2 linked regions of the Xenopus tropicalis genome follow. The protein of the gene in region 2 binds, or shares a complex with, the protein of the main gene of each other region. Links are inferred from orthologs where the notes say so. Each region holds a gene or a part of one and is shown on either strand. Other genes may lie near its edges. The genes, in order: vps52 and vps54.

Region 1 (10,363 bases), on a different chromosome or scaffold from region 2:
TAAGAAATTAATATTTTAAAGCATACAGAACAGGGACAACATATGAACAGAAAGAAGCTGGGAAAGGCAGTCACACAGATAATACTGCCTCTGTTTGTTGTTCCTCAGTCAATGCTTAGCTTGTAAACACCACTGCTGGCTAGAGGGCCATGATGCAATCTACAACACCTCAATAGTTTAGCTCAGTCTACAGACTACTTGACTTTTTTTAGAGATCCATATCTGTGTCCCTTGCATGTGTACAGAGAAATTTTAATTACAACCAACTACCCTGGAGTTAGTAACTCGACTGGGTAAGGGGTGGGGGTGAGGCCTAGTGGTTCTCTGACATGCTGCTAGCATTTAATATATGTTTGCCTGTTGGACAGGCATTGGATAATCTAAATTCTATTGGATTGTAATTAAGTTATAGTCATGGTGGCACAATTATGCTAAGAGATTCTAGCTCTTCTATACATAGAGATTATGTTTATGCTGATGCTGGATTATATTTCTGTGTATGTTAAGAAGACAGTCTTGATACTTTTTAATAGTGTATATATGTGCTATAATAGGACACTATTTTTATATATTGTCTTCATTAATATTCTGCAGATACTGGGATGCCCTTCTGGACATGCTGTGGCCCAGGTTTCAGCTTATCCTAGAATTAAACATTCAAAGTATTCGAAACACAGATCCACAAAGGCTGGGCACTGTTGATACAAGGCCGCACTATGTAAGCAGTAAACATCTGCCTATCTCAGGAAAAGTCTTGATAAATTTACTGGGTGTAGTAACACAAATACATCATACTATGCAGAAGTTTAGGGGTTGTCAGAAAATATTAGCAGAAAGTGGTGTAAAATCTGTTGTAGAAGCTGATGCAATACTGGGCTGATTACTAATCATTTTAATGCAGAATGCTGTAGTTTATGTGCTGCCATGTAAAGTGGTTCTAATGTATTACTGATCAGCCTTGTATCATCAAATTTGTGTTTTGTATATAGATACTGTATATAGTGGGTTGGTCCCTAATCTCAGCCGTGGTTGCCTTGGGCTGCTACGGAAGCCCAAAACATAAAAAGCATTAAAAGGATTCTATCATGATTTTTTTGGAATACTTTTTATTTATAAATGACACTGTTTACATAGCAGATAATTCATTCTACCATTCAAATTTTATTCTTGAACCAACAAATGTATTTTTTTAGCTGTAATGTTGGTGTGTAGGCAGCCATCTCAGTGAATTGTGCCTGAGTCTGAGCTTTCAGAAAGAGCCAGCGCTACATAGAACTGCTTTAAGATAACTTATTGTTTCTCCTACTCCCATGTAACTGGAGGAGTCCCAAGCCGGACTTGGATTTCTTACTATTGAGTGCTATTCTGATATCTACTGGGAGCTGCTATATTGTTTCCTTCCCATTGTTCTGCTGATCGGCGGCTGGGAGGGAAGTGAGATCACTCCAACTTGCAGCTAAGCAGTAAAGTGTGACTGAAGTTTATCAGAACACAGGTCATATGGCTGTGGCACCCTGGGAAATGAAGAATATGGCTAGCCCCATCTGAAATTTCAAAATAAAATATAAAAAAATGTATTTGCGTTTTTGAAAAACATGGATTTTAAAGTTCCACTCACGACCCAGATGAAAAAATTTACAGTCTGTGTCAATCTTACCCTTTACTGCCAGCTTGTAAACGTTATAATCTGTAGTAGTGAGTTAAAGAGCAAGTGGGAAGGTCAGTTTCACAGTCCATTAGAGGGTTGTCCATGTACTTGGTCACTTGCAAGCTTGACCTCTAAACCACTTTATACTGCACAGCTCACAGATAAACCCGCTGGTGCCACATTTTAGGTACAAAACCTAATTAATTACAGAGAATTATACAACATTACATATGTGTCTAAAAAATAAGCTATGAAAATTGTTTTTTTTTCCTTTTAGATAACCCGTCGTTATGCAGAGTTTTCCTCAGCCATCGTTAGCATAAACCAGACATTTCCAAATGAGAAGACAAATGCCCTGCTTGGACAGTTACAGGTACTAACCTTATATGAAGAGAATTTGGAGAAGGATTATAAAGTGTGATGTGGGATTCAGCCATCCTACACTTTTTTAAGATATAAAGTAAAACCCAGTAGGATTGTTTTACCTCTTATAAGGATTAATTATATCTTAGCTAGGATCAAGTACAAGGTACTGTTTTATTATTACTAAGAAAAAGGAAATCGTTTTTTAAAATGTTAAGTATTTTAGTAAAAAGGTCTACTGTAACTCAGAGCTTTCTGGATAACGGGTTTCCTCATAACAAATCCTATATCTGTACTAGTTATATTTTGGGTTATGTGAAAACGTCATATTTTTTGTACTCTATGAATAGGTAACATCAGTTAACTAAGAAGCTTCTTATGGGCAGTGACAAAGCTCCAGATTTTGAGTATGTGGGGGATATAGTGCTCTAAATGTGACTTGCTAGAGAAATATTAGATTCTACATGAAAAAGCCCTGGAGGTTGCCTATTGGTAGTTTTTCTTTTTGACTTTCTTTTAGGTAGAAGTGGAGAATTTTGTCCTTAGAATGGCAGCAGAGTTCTCATCAAGAAAAGAACAGCTAATTTTCTTAATAAACAACTATGATATGATGCTCAGTGTCCTTATGGTGAGTCCCACTAGTTTGCAACACATTAGATGTTTGTGGCATTTCACATAAGACAAGGTTTAACACTAGCAATGTGTTCATTTCCTATGAAATCTGACTCATCCAATTCAAGTTGGTTTCACATGTAATAAATTAATAACTATACACAGTGAACCTCACACTAGTCTGTAATGTCTATTGGGAGATATTAATCCGACATACAAACAAGCAGAGCTATAGTTCAGATCATTTACAGTTTTTTTCACTGCCATCTCTAGGAACGAGCATCTTCTGACAGCAAAGAAGTGGAAAGTTTTCAACAGCTGCTGACTGCTCGAACACAGGTTTGTAGCCCCTTTGTGTTTGTATTATTACCTTCTACACCATGTATTTCATATTGATTTTGTCCTTGTACTGTTTAAAATGCCAGGAGTTTATTGAAGAGATACTCGCTCCATCATTTGGAGGAATGATTGCATTTGTCAAGGAGTCAGAATCTCTAATTGAGAAGGGACAGCAGGAACGACTCAGAAGTGAAGAGGGTACAGGATGTTTGTATTTTAACAAGTCTTACTATTTGTTTTTATTGTCACTCACTGCATAAAGTAACGGTCTGAATTTCTTGTAGCACGTGTTGCTCAGCTTGTACGGGGGTTCTCATCAACATGGAAACAAGCAGTGGAGAATCTGAGTCAGGATGTTATGAGGTCATTTACCAACTTTAAGAATGGAACTAGCATTATACAAGTAAGGGAATTAGGAAGGGCTATTTAAGAGAGACCTTTATTTGGGTTCTTCCTTTTATTCTAACTCTCTCCATTTTTACAGGGTGCATTAACACAGCTGATCCAGTATTATCACCGCTTCCATAAGATACTCTCCCAGCCGCCACTCAGGAATCTGCCTGTATGCTCAGAATTAATAAACCTGCATCACCTAATGGTTGAGCTCAAAAAACATAAGCCTAATTTCTGAACCCAAGAAGGTAGAAGTAGGAAGTATCATAAAACTGATTCTGTTACCTGTGTATATAACACTAATCTGAGATGCATCAAGTGATGTAAATTTCTTAACAATGAAAGAGCAAGTGCTTTTGCCTTGCTAAGTCAGTAAGATACCTGTACCAACAGGTAAACAGGTAGCTCCACCAAATGTTTGAGTTTAAATATATTTAATGGCATTCTCTTCCTATGCTTAACTATTGCTTGTAAAATCATGCCAGAACTAAATGTATGGGTAAAATAAAGTTTACTACTGGTAACAAATCTTGGATAAATATGTATAGTTTTATGTAGTCTCACAGCATGAAGAAAATGTATAATTTCCTGTGCAGTCATTTGAATGTTATTGCAGCTTATCCATTCCCCGGGGACAGTGAGGTGCTAATGAGCAATAGCTGAAACAGGCCTGTGCAGATTGAGAACACTAGCTTAGCTAGTAGAAAGTACAGGGGTAATACATTCTAAATGCATAGGGGTTTTAATGTAAAATGCCACAACTTAAAGGAAGATGCAGTTGCAAGTCCTTTGTGGACACGATAACACATTCGTTGTAAAGGAGTTATGTTCTTTACTAGAAGCAATAACAGACAAGGGTTCCAAAGTGCTATGGCTACATTTTTATACCTGTATATATATATCTACACACATCTTTGTTTTAAATTATCCACACAGTTTAAGCAAAAATAGATACAAACCAGTATTAAAAGCCACATTTACTAAAATGTTACAAAAGAAAACGTTGCTCTGTGTCAAGAGCAATTAACATACAATACAAAGATTTAGAGTTCCCTCCATCGCTTTCTATTAACATTTAAGTGCAAGTAAGGCTTAAGAGAAACATCTGAGACCCAATTATGTAGCTTATGTTTGAGATAGTTCCAATAAGCCTATAAAGACACCAGAGCACTCTCTCTGCCAGTCAATATGTATGTCACAAGAAAGTCTTGCAGGCTCTTTAAACACAGTATCTAAACGAAGGCTGTTTTACTACACTGGAATGTTACATGCATGTTATCCAATCCCCACTCTAATAATATATCTTTTAAAAGAGTAAGGAAGAGATCTAAAGTACTAGCCCTCCAACAGCTACCTGTATGGATGTCCATACTGAATGTCATTCTTTTAAAAGAGATTAAAGGACATGTCAACCCCAAAAATAATTTTTTGCTTAATTAAAGAAAACTTAATTCTTAGCAACTTTGCAATATACACGCATTACATATTTGCAATGGGTTTCTAGTTATTTGTATGTATATATATATTTGCTATTAAAAGAACTGTCTGCCTGTCCTTTCTATTATCTGCTCTGGTCGCTCTGGCATTTGAAACAATGTAACAAAACACCAGCAGATTTTACAGACCTGACTTGCTGGAGGAGCCCGGCACTTGCAACATTGTTTAAAAAGTAACAACCAGGAGTTCAGCAAATGCTGCTTTCTATAGAAATTACATTTACTAATAACTTTTAATAAGTTGATATTAAAAAGTTGCTTGGAATTATGTTTTCTTTTATTAGGCAAAAAAATTATTTTTTTAGTAGGAATACCCCTTGTTAAACATGGATGCAATGAATAGGGCTTAAGTTTAACATACTTTTTCTCTATTGTTTTTAATATGGTTTTTGCCCCCTGTTCTATACAGGATAACTGAAACTACTTGTTTGGTCCTTGTAAGGTAGCAGATTACCAGTGTAACAGTACCTTCCTTGCCCCTTTTGACTGTTTTGCCAGCAGGAGTCCATTATACAGAGGATTGTTTGTGTGCTAGTAATTTAATTAAATCCCTAGAAGAACCAACCATGGAGCAGCTTCAGTTTTTCTGTTTGTCCTGATTAGATGAAGAATAATAACAGAAACCATACATTTATTTTTGTGAATAAAACAATAGGCAAACAGTGCTGATCTTTGAAATCATATCAAACAAGGGGATATTGGCCGTTTAACTGAGTGGGGAAGGAAAAGGTTTGAGTAACATTTAATAAACACCCAGCAAGGATCATGGCCTATACCCATCTTTCATTTGCAAATATGAAAGTGATATTGCTACTTCACAGAGGAATATTACAGTACTCCCAGACAGTATAATTACATTGACAAAAAAAAAAAAAAAATTTTTTGGCAGAATGTTTAAATATACGGTGTCTATATTTATATTGTGGGGTGCCATGTGGGAAAACCAATGAAAACATATATTATAAATGACAGGGTACAAATAAAATTTGGTGAAATCTGGGTAGAGTTGCATGAAGAGCTTGGTATATTAGACTTATCACTGCAAAGCTGGCAGTTAAGAGGATTAAGAGTGGCAGCTCCAGCCTTAATTCTTTCTTGGATCTGTGCTCCTTGCTGCTTTTGCAGACATCCGGGTGGTATCCTTTTATAGGCATTCTGACGGGTTCTTTTGTTTCTTTAGGATGAACCATACATGCAGTTCCTTTCAGTGTGCTTAGAGAATGTCAGTATATTTCGGCCCCTCTCCAGTTTTGTTTATGAGTACCATTCAGATGTGGGGCTATGCAATGAAAGGGCACTGCTGCCTGGTGCTCGTCAGTGTTTTGGTCATTAGTACCTGCTTAATCCACCAGTTTGGTTCTCAAGATATCAGACAGGGCTTATAATCCATTGAATAATAAGGTGTTGGCTTAGGGATACAAGTTAAATACAACTTTCCATCTTTTAGGGTACTCTGGTATACCTTTAGTTGAAACGGAAGCCACAGCTGCTAAACGCTCTATTAGGATTAGAGGAAAATAAAGCAGCCTCACGCGCCTCCATAACAGGTGGATTCCCTGTGGAATGCTTGGCACAAGCATATAATGCAGAAGTCATTATACAGGCGGCAGCATCTTTAATGTGAGTCATTTCATCCATGAGACTATTTCTGCTCTTTGGTTGGAGCATAATAAAGCTCCAGCGGTTTGCTTACCTTCCAATACTTTTCATTTACCAGCTCAAGTGTTAAGGAGCCATTCAGGGTCTGATAAAAACAAACAAACAAATGATGAGATACACATTAATGTATGCATAATTATCCACGTATTTTCGAAGTTTGTTTTTAAAAACTTAATGCAAGTAGTTAATAACAGCTGTCAGGAAGCATGAATTTATTCGGGAGAACTAGCTGAACCCATAGATGTTGTGGAATTCTGCCAACAAACACAGCAATTAGGGCAGTTTGGCAGCTCTTTAGGCCACCTAGCCCATAACTGATCTGTGTCCGAGTCCATCGCTTTACGCTGCACTCCAAATAAAGCAAAATGGTTGACTTTTAAACAAAATGAAACAATTACAGTTCTCATTTGTTCCTTCTGAAAACAAAAGTAAAATGTGAGCCAAGCTAATTACCTCAAAATGAAGCAGTAAATATAGATCTAGGATATAAAAGTTAAAGGAGAAGGCTAAGTCACTTGGGGGTGCCAAAATGCCTTTTATCCGGGCTGGTGCGGTTCTCCTAACAGGAGCACCAGTCTGGGGTAAAAGGTAAGCGCTTAAAGTCACTTGGGGGTGCCAACATTTTAAAGAAGCCTTTCCTTCTTTAAAGGGGGAAAAGGAAACAATTTGAAACAAGTGCTGTGAAGCAGCAATCAAGCTGTTAAATTATAAATGTGGTAAACAAAATCATCCCCACCTTACATACTGACGTTTGTATGTATGTATGTATGTATGTATGTATTATACAGCACCACAGGGCACAATCACAAATGGGAATATATACTCGAGTATAAGCCTAGTTTTTCAGCACCCAAAATGTGCTGAAAAAGTCACCCTAAGCTTATACTCGAGTCGGGTGCAATGGGTCCCTACAGACTAGCACCCTCTGTCCTTTGTGTCCAAATTAGGCCACCTGCAACCAGACCCTCCAGTGTCTGGCCTGCTCCCAAATTCATCTTCATCTACTGTCCCATTCCGCACTAGACATTGCACTTTATATTCTATATAAACCATAGTTTTGAAAGATTTTAACTCTTTGTGTTTTAGCTTGGTTGCTGATTGAGCTAAGGGGGGTAGTACTCTTAAGGTATCATTGTTGACACCATATTGTTTTTGTTGACCTTCTTCTCCACTTACAGAGCTAGTTTACTGGTTTTTCTTTGAAATAAATATTTAAAGGCATATGCCCCACTGATGCCTCATTTAATGTAATTTTATTGGTATTTATTTTGATTGAAACTTAGCAGTAGCTGCTGCAGTTCCCACCCTAGGCTTATACTCGAGTCAATAAGTTTTTCCAGTTTTCTTAGGTAAAATTAGGTACCTCGGCTTATATTCGAGTATATACGGTATATAGTAAATACCACTGTGCAAAGTTTGGGAACCCTGGTTTTAATAGTGTCTGAATGGCAGCAATTTAAAATTTCCCCATTGAAAGTCAGCGAGTGACATCTGATTGGCGGTCGGTGGCTCCGCTCCTTTTCCTAACCTGGAACTGCAGTTACCCAGTGACTAACTCTGCAAAGTTTAGGGACACCAAGATTAATAGTTAAAGAACGGCAGCAGTTTCAATTTAAACCAATAAAAGTCAATAGGTAAATTGTGATTGGTGGGTGTGCCCGCTTTTTCTAACCGAAGTCACCCAGTGACAAACAGTGGGCACCCTGGCATAAATAGTGAGAGAATAACAGCATTTTAAATTTAAACCAATAAAATTCAATGGATTAAATCTGATTGGCTGTTAGTGGCCCAACCCACTTATCCTATTTTTGAACTGCAGTCCCCCAGGGACCAACTGTGAAAAGTTTGGGGACCCTGACATTAAACATGTGAGAATGGCAGCAGTTAAAATTTCCCCACTGAAAACAATTAAAGAAATGTGATTGGAATTTGGCGGCCCCGCCCATATTTTCTAACGTAGTCACCCAGTGGCTGACTGTGCAAAGTTTGGGAACTTTGGCATCAAACCAAAAAAAGTCAATAGGTGAAATCTGATTAGCAGTTGGTGGCTCTGCCCACTTTTCAAAACTAAAACTGCAGTCCCCTAATGACTGACTGAAAAGTTTGGGGACCCTGGTGTTAATACTGTGAGAATGGCAGCAGGTTGACTTTCCCCATTAAAAGTCAATAGGTTAAGTCTGATTGGCACTTTTTCTAACCTTGAACTGCAGTTACCTGGTTCCTAACCCTACAAAGTTTGGGGACCATGTTGTTATTACTGTGAGAATGGCAGTAGGTTAAATTTCCGCCAAGTCAATAGGCTGTTCACAGCTCCACCCACTTTTGGGCATCCAACAATCATTATATTTCCATTCAGGCTGACCTCATGACTATGGGGTTCAAGTTTTCTTTTTCCTTAAAGAAACAATGCAAAACTGAACAATCCTGATTTGCCTCTTACTCATTTCAGCTTGGGTAAATCTTGTAATAATGCGTTAGAATTTCAGACACGGATAAGAGAATCTGAAAACAAGTTTCTTCTGGCCTTTGTTTCTAACATACAGTAAAGTTCAATACAACAGGTGGGTAAAGCACCAGTAGTGCCCTGGGCAGTGCAGTACGGACCCACTCCAGTTCCATCACCAACCCAAGCAAACTCCATCCCCCCCCCCTCCTTCCCATTTGGGAACTTTGGGCCCTTGGTAACCAGATAAAATGTATGATAAGAAAATCCAAAATATATTTACCAACCACATAAAAAATACAAATGTTTATAATACTCAACATGTCAGTAAGTGGGGCCTTTTATTTTCTTATACACGAATGCATATTATATATATACTCACAGTATACTGTCCACCTGCAGCCCCTGTAGAGATGTAGATGGTGTATTGCTTCTCGCTAACCTCTCCCAGTGTTACACCTTCTGCTCCCCCACGAAGAGCCTCCTCCTCCAGAGCAATGCGCAAAGCTAAATATTTTGATAGGTGATCAACTGTAGCATTTGCAGTGGTCTTTACATACCTGAGAAATATTAAGGTTGTATGAATCGGAGGGCTTTAAATCAAACTCCTGCAAGATACATAACATTAGAGGATTTATTAATCCCTTTACTTGTTATGCAGTTGGTGTCCTCATCATGCTTTTCTGGAAATTATTACCCAGCATCGTCCCAGCTTTTAGCATACTGACAATGTTTTTTTTTTTTTAACTCATTTGTTTAGAAGCATTCTTACCTAGTCTGACTATAACCATCTTTTTCCACTAGTAGGGGGTGTGCCCTGAAAACCAGTTCAATCTCACTACCAGTCTCTCCTCCACCTGGAGGATCAGGGCTCCTTACTCCACCTTCATGTGAAAGATCGGGTTCTGCTCCGGAATCTTCAGAGGCTCGAGATCGTTTACGACTAGGCCCTGCTTCCTGATTGCTGTGCACTGACGGGTTGCTGACATGTGAGCGGCTGTCGCAGTTGTCTTCCCCACCACTAAAAGTAGTGTTGTCGGATTCATGCTGGTGTTTGCGAACTCGCTGTGCTCTGGTAATAGGAAATGTAAAAAAAGAATAATCAAGATATTCTGCAGATGTATAATCAATGCCATTTCCTTAGCCCAGGCAAGCAATTTGTCAGCTCCCACTTAACTACCTGTGCATAGCTTGCATTTTAAGCCCTTCTTCAATGCTGCTGCTTAGTGCTTGCTGGTTATGTAGACGGCTTAACTTTGCCAGGACACGATCTTGATGTGCCTCATACTCATCCCTACTTGGGTAAATCTTGGAAATCAGTGCATCAAAATTTGGGTCAGGGCGAAGAGAACGTTTCGAGACCAGCTTCTTCCGGCATGTAGGACATTCTTTGTTCCTAAAAGGACAGAA
Region 2 (11,563 bases):
TAAAAGCAAAACCCATACTTTGTTTACAGAGTAAGGGTTAACGTATAATCTCACCCATACATTATACTTGGTATACATCATGTTGACTATAATAGAAAATTACACGTTACACTCTGATTTATTCCCGGAAAATATCTTACCTTTTCACAGGGTATAATGTGTTGTTGTCATATATCTGTCTCCCCTTCTCAGGATCCTTCTGATGCTGGGCCCCAACCAGATAAAATGCCTGCTCAGCTGTTTAATGTTAATTCATTTGAATGGAGGATTGACTAAAGCAATCCCGCATGTATAACCTTTTTATAATGGCTGAATGTACAGGTAGTATTGAAAGGAAGGAAAGGTTAAATATAGAAAGAAAATTATTTTGTTCCATGATTCTTCTTAAAAAGAAGGTTAGTGGCATTGAGCACCCCAGAAACTGCCTACAGTTTGTGGGCAACTAGTGTTTGTTGCAAACAAAACATAAAGTAAAAGAGTAAAGTCAATCCAAATATCTTGAAAAGTATTCAGCTTTTTAGATTTCTGCAGGTGTCAGCGTTATTATGTGTTATTTTATTTGTAATAAAAATGCAAATAGCATGTCAGCGGCCCCTTGCACGCAGCATTTTTCACAAAGGGCTGTTTATAATCAACATAAGCAAAAAAAATGCTTATTATCACAACTAATGCCTTCAAGTATGGAAGCAGGTTTTCTAAAGTGTCAGCTCTTGATAAGGTTTATTACTTGTGCTTTCCTTGTCTATGTAATAAAAATGCAAATAATAGAGCAGCCCTTTGCAAAGTGTTTTTCCCAAAGGATATCTCAGAGGGAAAATATTATAGTGTTTGTGTGATGAGCAGAGCCCTCACCCTTTTAGAGTTTAAGCAGTGATTGCTCTTTTATTGCAGAATTTTATTAACCACACAATACAGAACCAAAATTATTCAGAAAATGATATGAACTCTGGGCTGATTAATCTGTAGTGGATAGCCAAAGTTCTAGTTTTGCTAGCAAGGATTTGGCATCTTTGTACATTAAGGGATTTTATTTTAGATGCAACATTAAATCATAAAAAATGTTATCATAAAACTGGACAGTTTGAGAAGCACTTTACTAGAATATCTCACCTGCATCACACAAACATACACACACTTGGGCCAATTACATGAGAAATTTGTTATTCTGTGAGCTTGTTTTTCAAGTGTGGTAGGAGGCCCTTCCAAACGTGCAAACTCTTTTCCATGGTTGGAACAGAAGTAGAATCATATAGAGGGGGATACTTTCAAGTGGATCTGTTCAAATTAGACCGTGAGATTAGGTGCACTGCCAAGAGCCTTCCTCAGAGGGATCTCATATACCAAAATAGGTGTAAGGCAGGCAGGTGATGTGGTTGGAATTGAACTCGGTACCCCAGTACTAGCTGTACTAGCCATAGTAAAGGCAATGCTCTCTGAAACATTTATCTTTGAAGGAAGAGCAATCACCCTGTAAATTTATTTAAAGTAACAGGAAAGTATCTATTAAGGGACCCATGCATGCTGTGGCAGCGCTGCATGTATTTGTATTTAGCTATTTTGCACATGTTAATAGTACAGGTGAGAGGAAAAAAAGGTGCAACAAAATTTTGGAATTGGGAGCTTTTCCTGTCTATGCAAATAGTTTTACCTTCTGGTGGTGCGACTCCCTGACCCTAAGGCCACGTCAGTCAGTGTAGTTCAGTGATCCCCAACCAGTGGTTCAGCAACATGTTGCTCACCAACTCCTTGGATGTTGCTTCCAGTGCCCCCAAACCAGGTGTTTATTTTTAATTCCTGACTTGGGGGCAAGTTTTGGTTGCATAAAAACAAGATGTACTACCAAACAAAGCCTCCTTTAAGCTGATAGTGTGCATAGAGGCTACTAAATAGCCAATCACAGCCCTTATTTGGCACCCCCATAATTTTTTATGATGTTTCTGTAGCTCCCCAAGTCTTTTTACATTTGACTGTGGCTCGCGAGTTAGAAAGGTTGGGGATCCCAGATATAGATAAAGGGAGCTCTGCACACACCAATAATTGCTGCTATGTTAGCTTTATTATACCATACCAAATAGAAGTCATTTGTACAGCAAATATTGGGGAGAGAAAGGAGGTCCATGCTAACTATTTACCTCTTTTTTTTTTTAATTTTCTGCTTCCAGGCTTACTGATCAGATTCGGATGATGAATTTTTCTCAGTGGTTTGGCTTGCTTCAGAATATTTTTTCTAAGTTTACAATTTTTATTGAGAGAGTTAAGGTAAGTGGGAAAAAAAATACATGTGATGGCATCTTATTTGTCCATAACACTCGTCTGCGGATTTTTTTTAGACATATGGGATTTGCTAAATTGGTTGCTTCAGCCAAGATGTTTCCCCAGATTGACATCATGCATTACTTTTAAAAGTCTCCCCAATGCAGAGTTGCTCAGCGGGGTTGGCGGGCAGCGCTTCAGACCCTCTTCTGTCAGATTGGCAACACTTTGCATGCAGGAGCATTCAACTGTTCATGCAACTGTTCGCCCCACAACAAATTTTCATTGCCTTGGGCGACTAATCTCCCCTCAATGCCATCCCCCCGGCAAGAATGTAAATCGCCAGTGGGATGGTATACGCGTTGCTACGATTTCCGAAGTTTCCTCTCAAGGCAACGCATATGCCATCCCACTGGCAATTTACATTCTTGCCGGTGGGATGGCATTGCGGGGAGATTAGTCGCCCGCAGCAACGAAGATTTGTTGTGGTGCGACTAATCTCCCCGTCTGCCTCTGTCCTTAGCTGCTGACCTCTGACAGAAGAGGATCTGAAGTGGCACAAATGGGTGCCTGTCAGGTACGAAGATAGAGGCCCTTTGGCAGTAAAAGGTGGTGCGGGGGTTGGGGCAGGGTTTTGTTCTCCTTCAGCCAAAGAAAAGCCACTTTCAGCAATAAAGCCACTTTTAAACACTCGTATACATGTTCTGTATACAGACTGTAACCTATAGTGATAGAAGAACTAAAGCTCAACAAATAATAAAAGCCAGAAATGCAAAATCTGTGCCTTTAGAAATGCCTCCCCATCTTATTTTGTGCAGCCACTGCACATGTACTGGGCTACACTTAGTTGCCTGAGCTTATGAATAATATCATTCATTGCAGTGTGCATCAGAATTGATTAATAACCATCAGCATCCATGACACATGCAGCCTCTCCTCTGCTGATGTTTCAATGATTTCCAACAACCCCTAAGCTGTTGATCACGGGCACTGAAAAGATGGCATAAAAAGTTTCAGAATAAGGGGGGTTGATGTGACCAACATTACAGGCATTGATCATAATTGTTAAAGGGCTGTTAAACCTCAGGACATGCAGAGTAAGATTAAATACTGTAAATGTAACCCTTCAGGGAGATGCTGTACAGTTTCCCTTTCTGTTCTTAAAGCTTTGCTATATCTTCTGTTCTCATTTAATTTGCTGCAAGTGGTACAGACTTTATTTAGTATAACGGCTATTTCTTTCCCTGCAGGCAACGCTAAGCGTCATCCGTAATGTAGTGCTCATGGTTTTAGACAAAAATCAGCGGGTGAGGGAAATGGAAATGTTGGCAGCTCAACAGAATCTCAGAAGAGAAAGCAATGTGGACAATGAATTGGCGTACTTGACTCATGAAGGCTTATTTATAAGTGATGCTTTCGGTGAAGGTGAGCTTCCCAATGCTGCTACCAGCACTAACTTTCAAAGGAACACATCACCCAGCAGTAGCGAGCCCTCTGGCAGCGATACAGTATCTGATCCTGAGTGTACCACAGACTCTTCTTCCAGCAAAGAACACACACTGCCTTCTGTTACCCAAGGGGGAATAGAAATAATGTGAGTAAAACTAGACTTTATAAACTTAACCTGTGAACCAACACTGTACACTGTGCCTTGTTCAGGGAGCTGTGCCATATGGATGATATTAAGATGAGCATACCAGTGTGCCGATCAATTAATTTACCTTTTTATGGCAAAGAGCACAGAGTAACACATTTTTACTCCTTGTACCTTATGTACTGAGCATTTAGGTTGTAGACAAAGTAGTCGCCACCACTGTTTTGGATATAGCCTGAAGGCTTTTATAGGTGTTGTATTACAGGTATGGAAACTGTTATCCGGAGAGCCCTTATCCAGAAAGCTCTGAATTACAGAAAGCCTGTCTCCCATAGACTCCATTATAATGAAATAATTCAGATTTTTAAAACTGATTCCAATGGGTCCTATACCTGTACATCCTTTTTGAAAAATATATAACATATTCTATTATGCATTTGTTTCAGATCTCTTTTAACAGATTCAAACAAATGGCTGAAATGATAGATTATATAATAGATAAATAGAAAAAAAAAAACAAGTAACACATTCTCTTTAGTCACCAATCCCCATATTTTATATAGACCTTCAATAGAAGTCCTGACACTATGGGGAATTTAGGGAAAGTATAGATGCCCCTCTTGCTGCAATACAGTCCATAAGCTCATTTGGACATGCCAAAGGCAGAGTAATTAAAAGGAACAAAATACTCCCTTTTTTGACATAAGTTGGGTTTATGTCTGCATTCCAGGGAATCTGTGCCCTGCCCTGCTTGGAAAGCAGAGGGACTTTAAGTTCAAGAATCTGTCACTTCCTAATGGAACACAATGACCCCTAAGGGTGGTGTTGAATTGAGTCTTGCTAGTCAGGCAAAATATCATGGTTTCCTCAGTCTGAGAAATCAGGTATGTCTGTATACAAAAAAAGTATATTTATATCTGACATTTCAAAAAACCATGCAAAGACTATATGCTTATTTATAAGTTTAGCCCATGCTTATTTAGTTATTACCTATATGAGCGAAGTTATATAGGCAATAGTATTTAACTACCCCCTCTTTTGGTCTTTGAGAAACAGTCCAATAAAATTGCCACATAATTCACAATCTCACATATGTAATAAAAGGCACTAAGTTTGCCCAGGAGCAGTAACCCATAGCAACCTATAAGATGTTTGCTTGTAAACAGGTGACCAGTAAATGCTACCCTCTGATTGGTTGCTATGTGTTACTACTCATGGGCAAACTTATTGCTTTTTATTACATAACCACAAATGACTTCAAATCTGTACATGACTGATATAGGGGGGTGGGATTGCATGTTAGATTTGCTGAGCTCCTATATTTTTAATCACTTCTCTATGGTTCTGTGCACATCTGTAGAATGTTCAGAAGGGTAGTTCACCATTAAAGTGTTATTGTGATGTGGAAAGTGGTATTCTCCAGTTAATTTCATAAGCTCCCTTGTCGATATCTAGATGACTTTTGTGTGTGCAGTAAGGTGACCCCCGAACAATGATTTTTTTTTTTTTAGTCTAACTGAAGAAATGAAGTTAACTGACCTGGAACTTGGTAAAATTGCCAACAGTATACAGGAGTTACTGTATGATGCCTCTGACATCTGCCATGACCGCTGCGTCAAGTTCCTGCTAGCGAGGGCCAAGGTAAATAACAAGCCTCTGTTTTATTACTAGGATGTACTTCACTTCATATCTGCCAAGGCTTTGTTGTAAGTGAACGTTTCTGCCTGGATGGCGTTTGGCATAACTAGATATTACTGGGCTCCACAGCAGATTCAATTTAGTGTCCAAAACATTTGTATGTTGGCCTATTCTATAGCTTATTATTTACTACAATAAAACATTTGTAGTTGTCTACAAGCAGAGCATAATATTATGGACTTCAAAACATGTTCTCAATTTAACAATATTATTAACATTTGTTTAATCTCACATATGTAATATGTGTATATATATGTATGTATGTATGTATGTATGTATGTATGTATGTATATATGTATATACAGCCGATCAGCAGAACAATGGGAAGGTAGCAAGATAGCAGCTCCCAGTAGGTATCAGAATAGCTTTCCATATTAAGAAATCCAAGTCTGGCTTGGGGTTCCTTCAGTTATATGGGAGTAGGAGAAACAATAGGTTACCTGAAAGCAGTTCTAATGTGTAGTGCTGGCTCCTTCTGAAAGCTCAGACTCAGGCACAATGCACTGAGATGGCACCTACACACCAATATTACAACTAAAAAATATACATTTGTTGGTTCAAGAATAACATTTTAAATGATAGAGTGAATTATTTGCTATGTAAACAGTGTAATTTAGAAATAAAAAGTATATCATAATAATCATGACAATCCCTTTAATGTTACTGGTAGTTGTTAGGCTTCCCTTTTGAGCTTAACTCTGTATCTCCATTTCATGATATTCTCAATTTGTTTTCCTTATCAGGAAGGGTTTCTTGAGAAGCTAAACTCTGCTGAATTTGTGTCCCTCTCACGGGCAGTGGAAGCATTCGTTTTGGGTACTGAAAAGATCTGTGGCCGAAGGAGCATGTCACTGAGAGGGGCACTGCAAAGCCAAGCCAACAAATTTGTAAATCGGTTCCATGATGAAAGAAAAACCAAACTGAGGTAAAGAGCAACCACTAACACAGTGTGCCATGTAGTATCCGTTTTTTCTCTCTATTTTATTGATCTGTAGGATAAATACACTGCAATTAAAAACACTGTGCAAATGGGAAACTTGAGGCTGCTGGTGCAAGCAGTGCTTTTTAGATATTGAACAAAATCATGATTTGAATTGGAAATGTGAATACACCAAAACTAGAACTTTTCAGCAGGAAGACTCTTACATTCTGTACTGGCACTTTCAGGCTTTTTCCATTCAGTGACAGCCTAGTCTGTTAAAGAAGACCTAAACTCTATATAAATTCACCTATTTACTCATAAGGGGTAAATTACATTACTGTGAAATGCTATTACGAGAGTGCTATGGGACCCAAGAGTATGCCCCTTAATCCTTACCCTAGCAGGCAACTTTCACCTGGGTTAAGCTGCACTCTGTTCCTTGTGCAAGTTTGGGGGCAGATGGGTGGATGCCTATGTGCCACCCCAATTCCTGACTCTCACCAATACAGGAATGGCCAGAGAGGAATGGCAACTCCTGAATGGAGCACAGAGGCCTGTAGCAATTTACACAATGCAGAGCACAGTGTGCAAAGTGCAAAAAAAAATTCAGATATCTCAGAAACAACTAAAATAGAAAAATAATGTATGGTGCAAAAGTGCTCAGAGATGCACCCTGATGAAGTTTACATAAATGTATTTTCTGGGTTTAGATTCTCAGATATCTTGAGTTTGGACATGTTATTGGCAAATCCCTCTTGGGAACCATCCTCTCATTGAGGAGGAGGTCAGCAACTATTGTGCAAAAAATTCTTCAGCTCCTACTTGCAGTGGTGCTATGTACCTTGGCCTCTGTTTGTCATGCTATTTCATATTACAGGTATGGGATCCTTATCTGTAAACATTTTAATCAAATAATTCAGAATTTTAAAACTGATTCCCCTTTTCTCTGTAATAATAAAACAGTACCTTGTAATTGATCCCAACTAAGATATAAATAATCCTTACTGGATTCAAAACAATCCTATAGGGTTTAATTAATGTTTTATTGATTTTTTTAGTAGACCTAAGGTATGGAGATCCAAATTACGGAAAGACCCCTTATCCGGAATACCCTTGGTCCCGAGCATTCTGGATAACGGGTCCTATACCTGTACCACAAATCGTTAATTGATTGACTAAAAACAACAGAACATTTTTGGATCCCCTCTACTGGTTGCTCTGTGGATATTTTGAAGACCCTGCCTTAATACTGGGTTAATTAGGACAGGTTTGGGGACCTATACTATAGTATATGTACAATTCTAGGTTGGGAGAGAATTCATTACACAAAACAAGAATGGTGCTAGCGTTCCACATTACCCTAAGAATAGTAAAGCTGGATATGTTCTAAAGTAACACTTTTCTCCCCTTATAGCCTCCTGCTTGATAATGAACGCTGGAAACAAGCTGATGTCCCTGCTGAATTTCAGGACTTAGTAGATTCTATAAAGGACGGTAAAATAGTGCTTCCTGAGCGAAAATCTGGAGGTACGTTTGTTTCCTTGAACTCGGCATATCTGTACTGCACAACTAGTTTAAAGAATAAAAATGTTTTAATATTTGTTTTACTAAAGGAGAAATTAAATCTTAAAAGGGGTCTTTTTGTTCCACATACAGAATGTGGTTGTTTGGCTCTGTGGCACAATCCATTATTTTTTCACTGAATAGCACATACATCATTACTTGTAGAGCCTTGGTGAAGATGGTGCCAGTCTATTCATGGATAGAATCCTAGTTTGCATAGAGCTGCATAAAGCTAGCCATATGAGTGCTGATTCTTATACAGTCCCATTTCTGAGCATATGGACTGAAAACTGATATGGGCTTTTGCTCCACACATTTATCCACTACGTTCTATAGGAGAAGAGCTAATTACAGGGCTTTTACGCAGAATTTTCTGTTGGTGCTGACAGTTTTGGTACAGCCATGCTTGAGCTTGGCACTCTATATTCACACAAAGCCTGCAATTTTTCAAAATCATTATTATGAAGTTGGATTTTGTGAACTAAATGCTTTTTATGTGTGCTTTATGTTTTCCTTTTACTGTTATTATTAAATTAAATTATTGAAGCCATCATTTTAGAAAACAAATGGGATAGAAAAGTTTGCTGTTTTTGTTATCCTATGTCAGTTACCTGCTGCCATGTTCTTCAGCGATATACACACTGGTACAGTGGGGTCCTTCTTCTCTAGAGCGTACAGACTTTACCTGCCTAAATGAATAAGGCCAAATGTAGTGTTTTTCTGCTAAACCCAAACTTCTCCATCAGACTGTCATCGTTAAAATACTGTTCCTTTGCAGCAAATGTTTTTAACCAATTCTTTTTTTCATCAGGTACAGAAGAAAGGAAACCCACAGATTTTCTTACAGTGGACGGACAGAAGTATGCAGTTGTTGGGTAAGCTGCATTTTTAAAGGAATACTGTCACGGGAAAACCTGTTTTTTTCAAACCGCATCAGTTAATTGTACTGCACCAGCAGAATTTTGCACTTAAGTTCATTTTTTAAAAAAGCAAACAGATTTATTATTTTTACATGGGGCTAGGTTGCCTTACTTTTCCAGCCACAGCCATGTGCTCTGATAAACTTCAGTCTCTCTAATGCTGCGCTGCAATTGGAGTGATATTAACCCCCTTCATTTTACCCCTCAGCAGCCATTTAGCTAAACAAGATAGCATAGTGCTTCCCTGGGCTATTAGCACTGCTGCCACTGTCCTGAATTTTAGTGAGTGGGTAAACAGGCAAAACTGCCTATACTGCCTCCCAGTGATTTAGGGCTTTATATTTATATATATATATATATATATATATATATATATATATATATATATATATATACATACATACATACATACATACATACATACATACATACATACATATATATATATATACATATATATATATATACATATATATATATATACATACATATATATATATACATACATATATATATATACATACATATATATATATATATATATATATACACCCATATACACCCATATACACCCATATACACCCATATACACCCATATACACCCATATACACCCATATACACCCATATACACCCATATACACACATATACACACATATACACACATATACACATATACACACATATATACATACATACATATACACACACACACACTCCCTCACGCTATGCACTTGTAAACAATGGTACATTGACTTCTGTGAACAATAACTCCAGATCCTAAATACATTATACAGTAAGAGGCAGAGTCCCAAATACTGAATACAGTGAGAAATACTTGATACAGTGAATACTGTATACAGTGAATACTTTAGCCCAAATACATTAAGCCCCATATAGATTAAATACAATGTGAGGAAATGATTTCTGACACCTCAGACCCCCTCTTACCCTTCCAAAAAGCAGGTATCCTGAAGGCTGGATAAGATTTCAGCATTGGGGAAACCAAATGAATTCTGGAATGGTTTGCATTACTAAATGTGGTTTCATGCCCCATCTAGTGGTAGATATGAGAATAGCACCCAGGCAGGAGAAATCCTATATTCAACTTGGGTCATATTCATAGTACATTGAGTTGGGAGAAACAATCGTTTATCTAAAAGCAGTTCTAATGTGGCTCCTTCTGAAAGCTCGGAATTTGGCACAATGCACTGAGATGGTGCCTACACACCAATATTACAGCTAAAAAATTTATTTTCCTGGTTCAAGAATAAAATTTTAATTGTAAATGTTAAAGTGGATTATTTGCAATGTAAACAGTGTCTTTTAGAAATAAAAAGTACACGATAAAAATGATGGTAGAATCCTTTTAAGGTGTAAAACAGTGATCCCCAACCAGTGGCTCAGGGGCAACATGTTACTCACCAACCCCTTGGATGTTGCCCCCAATGGCCATAAGCAGGTGCTTATTTTTGAATTCCTGGTAAGGAGGCAAGTTTTGGAGGCATAAAAACCCAATATAATGCCAAACAGAGCCTTCTATTGGCTGCCAGTCCCCATAGGGGCAATTAAATAACCAATTATAGCTCTTCTTAGCACCATCAGGAACCTTTTTCATACTTGTGTTGCTCCCCAACACTTTTGATTTAAATGTGGCTCATGGGTATAAACGGTTGGGGATCCCTGGTGTACAATGTGTGTAAATCAGATTATTGTCATTTAGCACTAATGCACCCCTTGTATGTCTTGCAGCACAGTGCTACTTTTGATCAGAATCATTCTCGAGTACTGCAGCTGCGTAGATGATATCCCCTCTGTAACTACAGACATGTTGACTCGGCTGTCTGATCTTTTAAAGGTACCCTGTCAGTTTTATTGCTGCTCAGTGTCATGCTTACAAAATTCTGTATGAAATCTGTTGATTAAATATATTACAATAGATGTTCCTCTCGTTACCATAACAAAGGTACATAAAGCTCTTTAATGACTAAACCTGCTGCTCGCATTACCATTGTAACATCCATGCATTTAATGTACCGTTCTTGCTGTGGGCTTTAAAGGAGAAGGGGAAAGAAAGCAAATTATTGGAATCGGGGGGCAAGTAGAATGAGCAGGGAGTGGTTTATATTGTTTAGGAAGAATAGTGGTTTATATTGTTTAGGAAAAATATACATGAGTAATTATTTGCTGAGCTTTAAACATCCAGCTTTGTGTTTTCTAAAGATCCTCCTTTTCAAACTCTGTAACAATCATATAGGGCTATGCAGAGAGTGGAAATAAAAGGCTGGAAAAAAGAAATACAGAATATGTGAGAGGGAGCGGATATTGTGTATGAATTGTGTATTACCTTCTATCTGAAAGTAGCAGATGTGGCTGATTTCCTGCATAGCTGGACAGGCAAATAGATCCTTAGATTTCCCTATTATAGCACACATTATTTGAAAAGGGTTGTTTGCATCAGAAATATTAAGTATCTAGATTTGATGTACTTTATAAATCCAGCATTGGGTTCACCAAATGTCCAAATCCTATTCCTGCAGTATTTGGATTTAGACAGATCCTTAGTATTCAGCCAAATTGGATATGTACTTAAGTGTACTGGACAACTGAAGGG

What was found.
Region 1: vps54 (region 2) and vps52 share a complex: the UniProt entries of both Homo sapiens proteins name them as parts of the golgi-associated retrograde protein (GARP) complex. The link is inferred for Xenopus tropicalis from reciprocal best matches to the Homo sapiens genes VPS54 and VPS52.

What each region holds. Positions count from the first base shown.
Region 1 is NC_030684.2:72,047,455-72,057,817, reverse strand, and holds the end of vps52 (vacuolar protein sorting-associated protein 52 homolog), read left to right. Parts: intron 1-594; coding exon 595-718; intron 719-1,925; coding exon 1,926-2,021; intron 2,022-2,531; coding exon 2,532-2,639; intron 2,640-2,896; coding exon 2,897-2,962; intron 2,963-3,048; coding exon 3,049-3,160; intron 3,161-3,246; coding exon 3,247-3,365; intron 3,366-3,446; coding exon 3,447-3,593; 3' UTR 3,594-4,816; downstream 4,817-10,363. Other genes in the region: E3 ubiquitin-protein ligase RING1, read right to left, coding at 6,494-6,595, 9,336-9,513, 9,726-10,025, 10,134-10,349. UniProt on the Homo sapiens protein: Acts as a component of the GARP complex that is involved in retrograde transport from early and late endosomes to the trans-Golgi network (TGN).
Region 2 is NC_030681.2:32,637,439-32,649,001, forward strand, and holds part of vps54 (vacuolar protein sorting-associated protein 54), read left to right. Parts: intron 1-2,162; coding exon 2,163-2,259; intron 2,260-3,503; coding exon 3,504-3,847; intron 3,848-5,358; coding exon 5,359-5,488; intron 5,489-6,288; coding exon 6,289-6,470; intron 6,471-7,881; coding exon 7,882-7,994; intron 7,995-8,841; coding exon 8,842-8,905; intron 8,906-10,701; coding exon 10,702-10,807; intron 10,808-11,563. UniProt on the Homo sapiens protein: Acts as a component of the GARP complex that is involved in retrograde transport from early and late endosomes to the trans-Golgi network (TGN).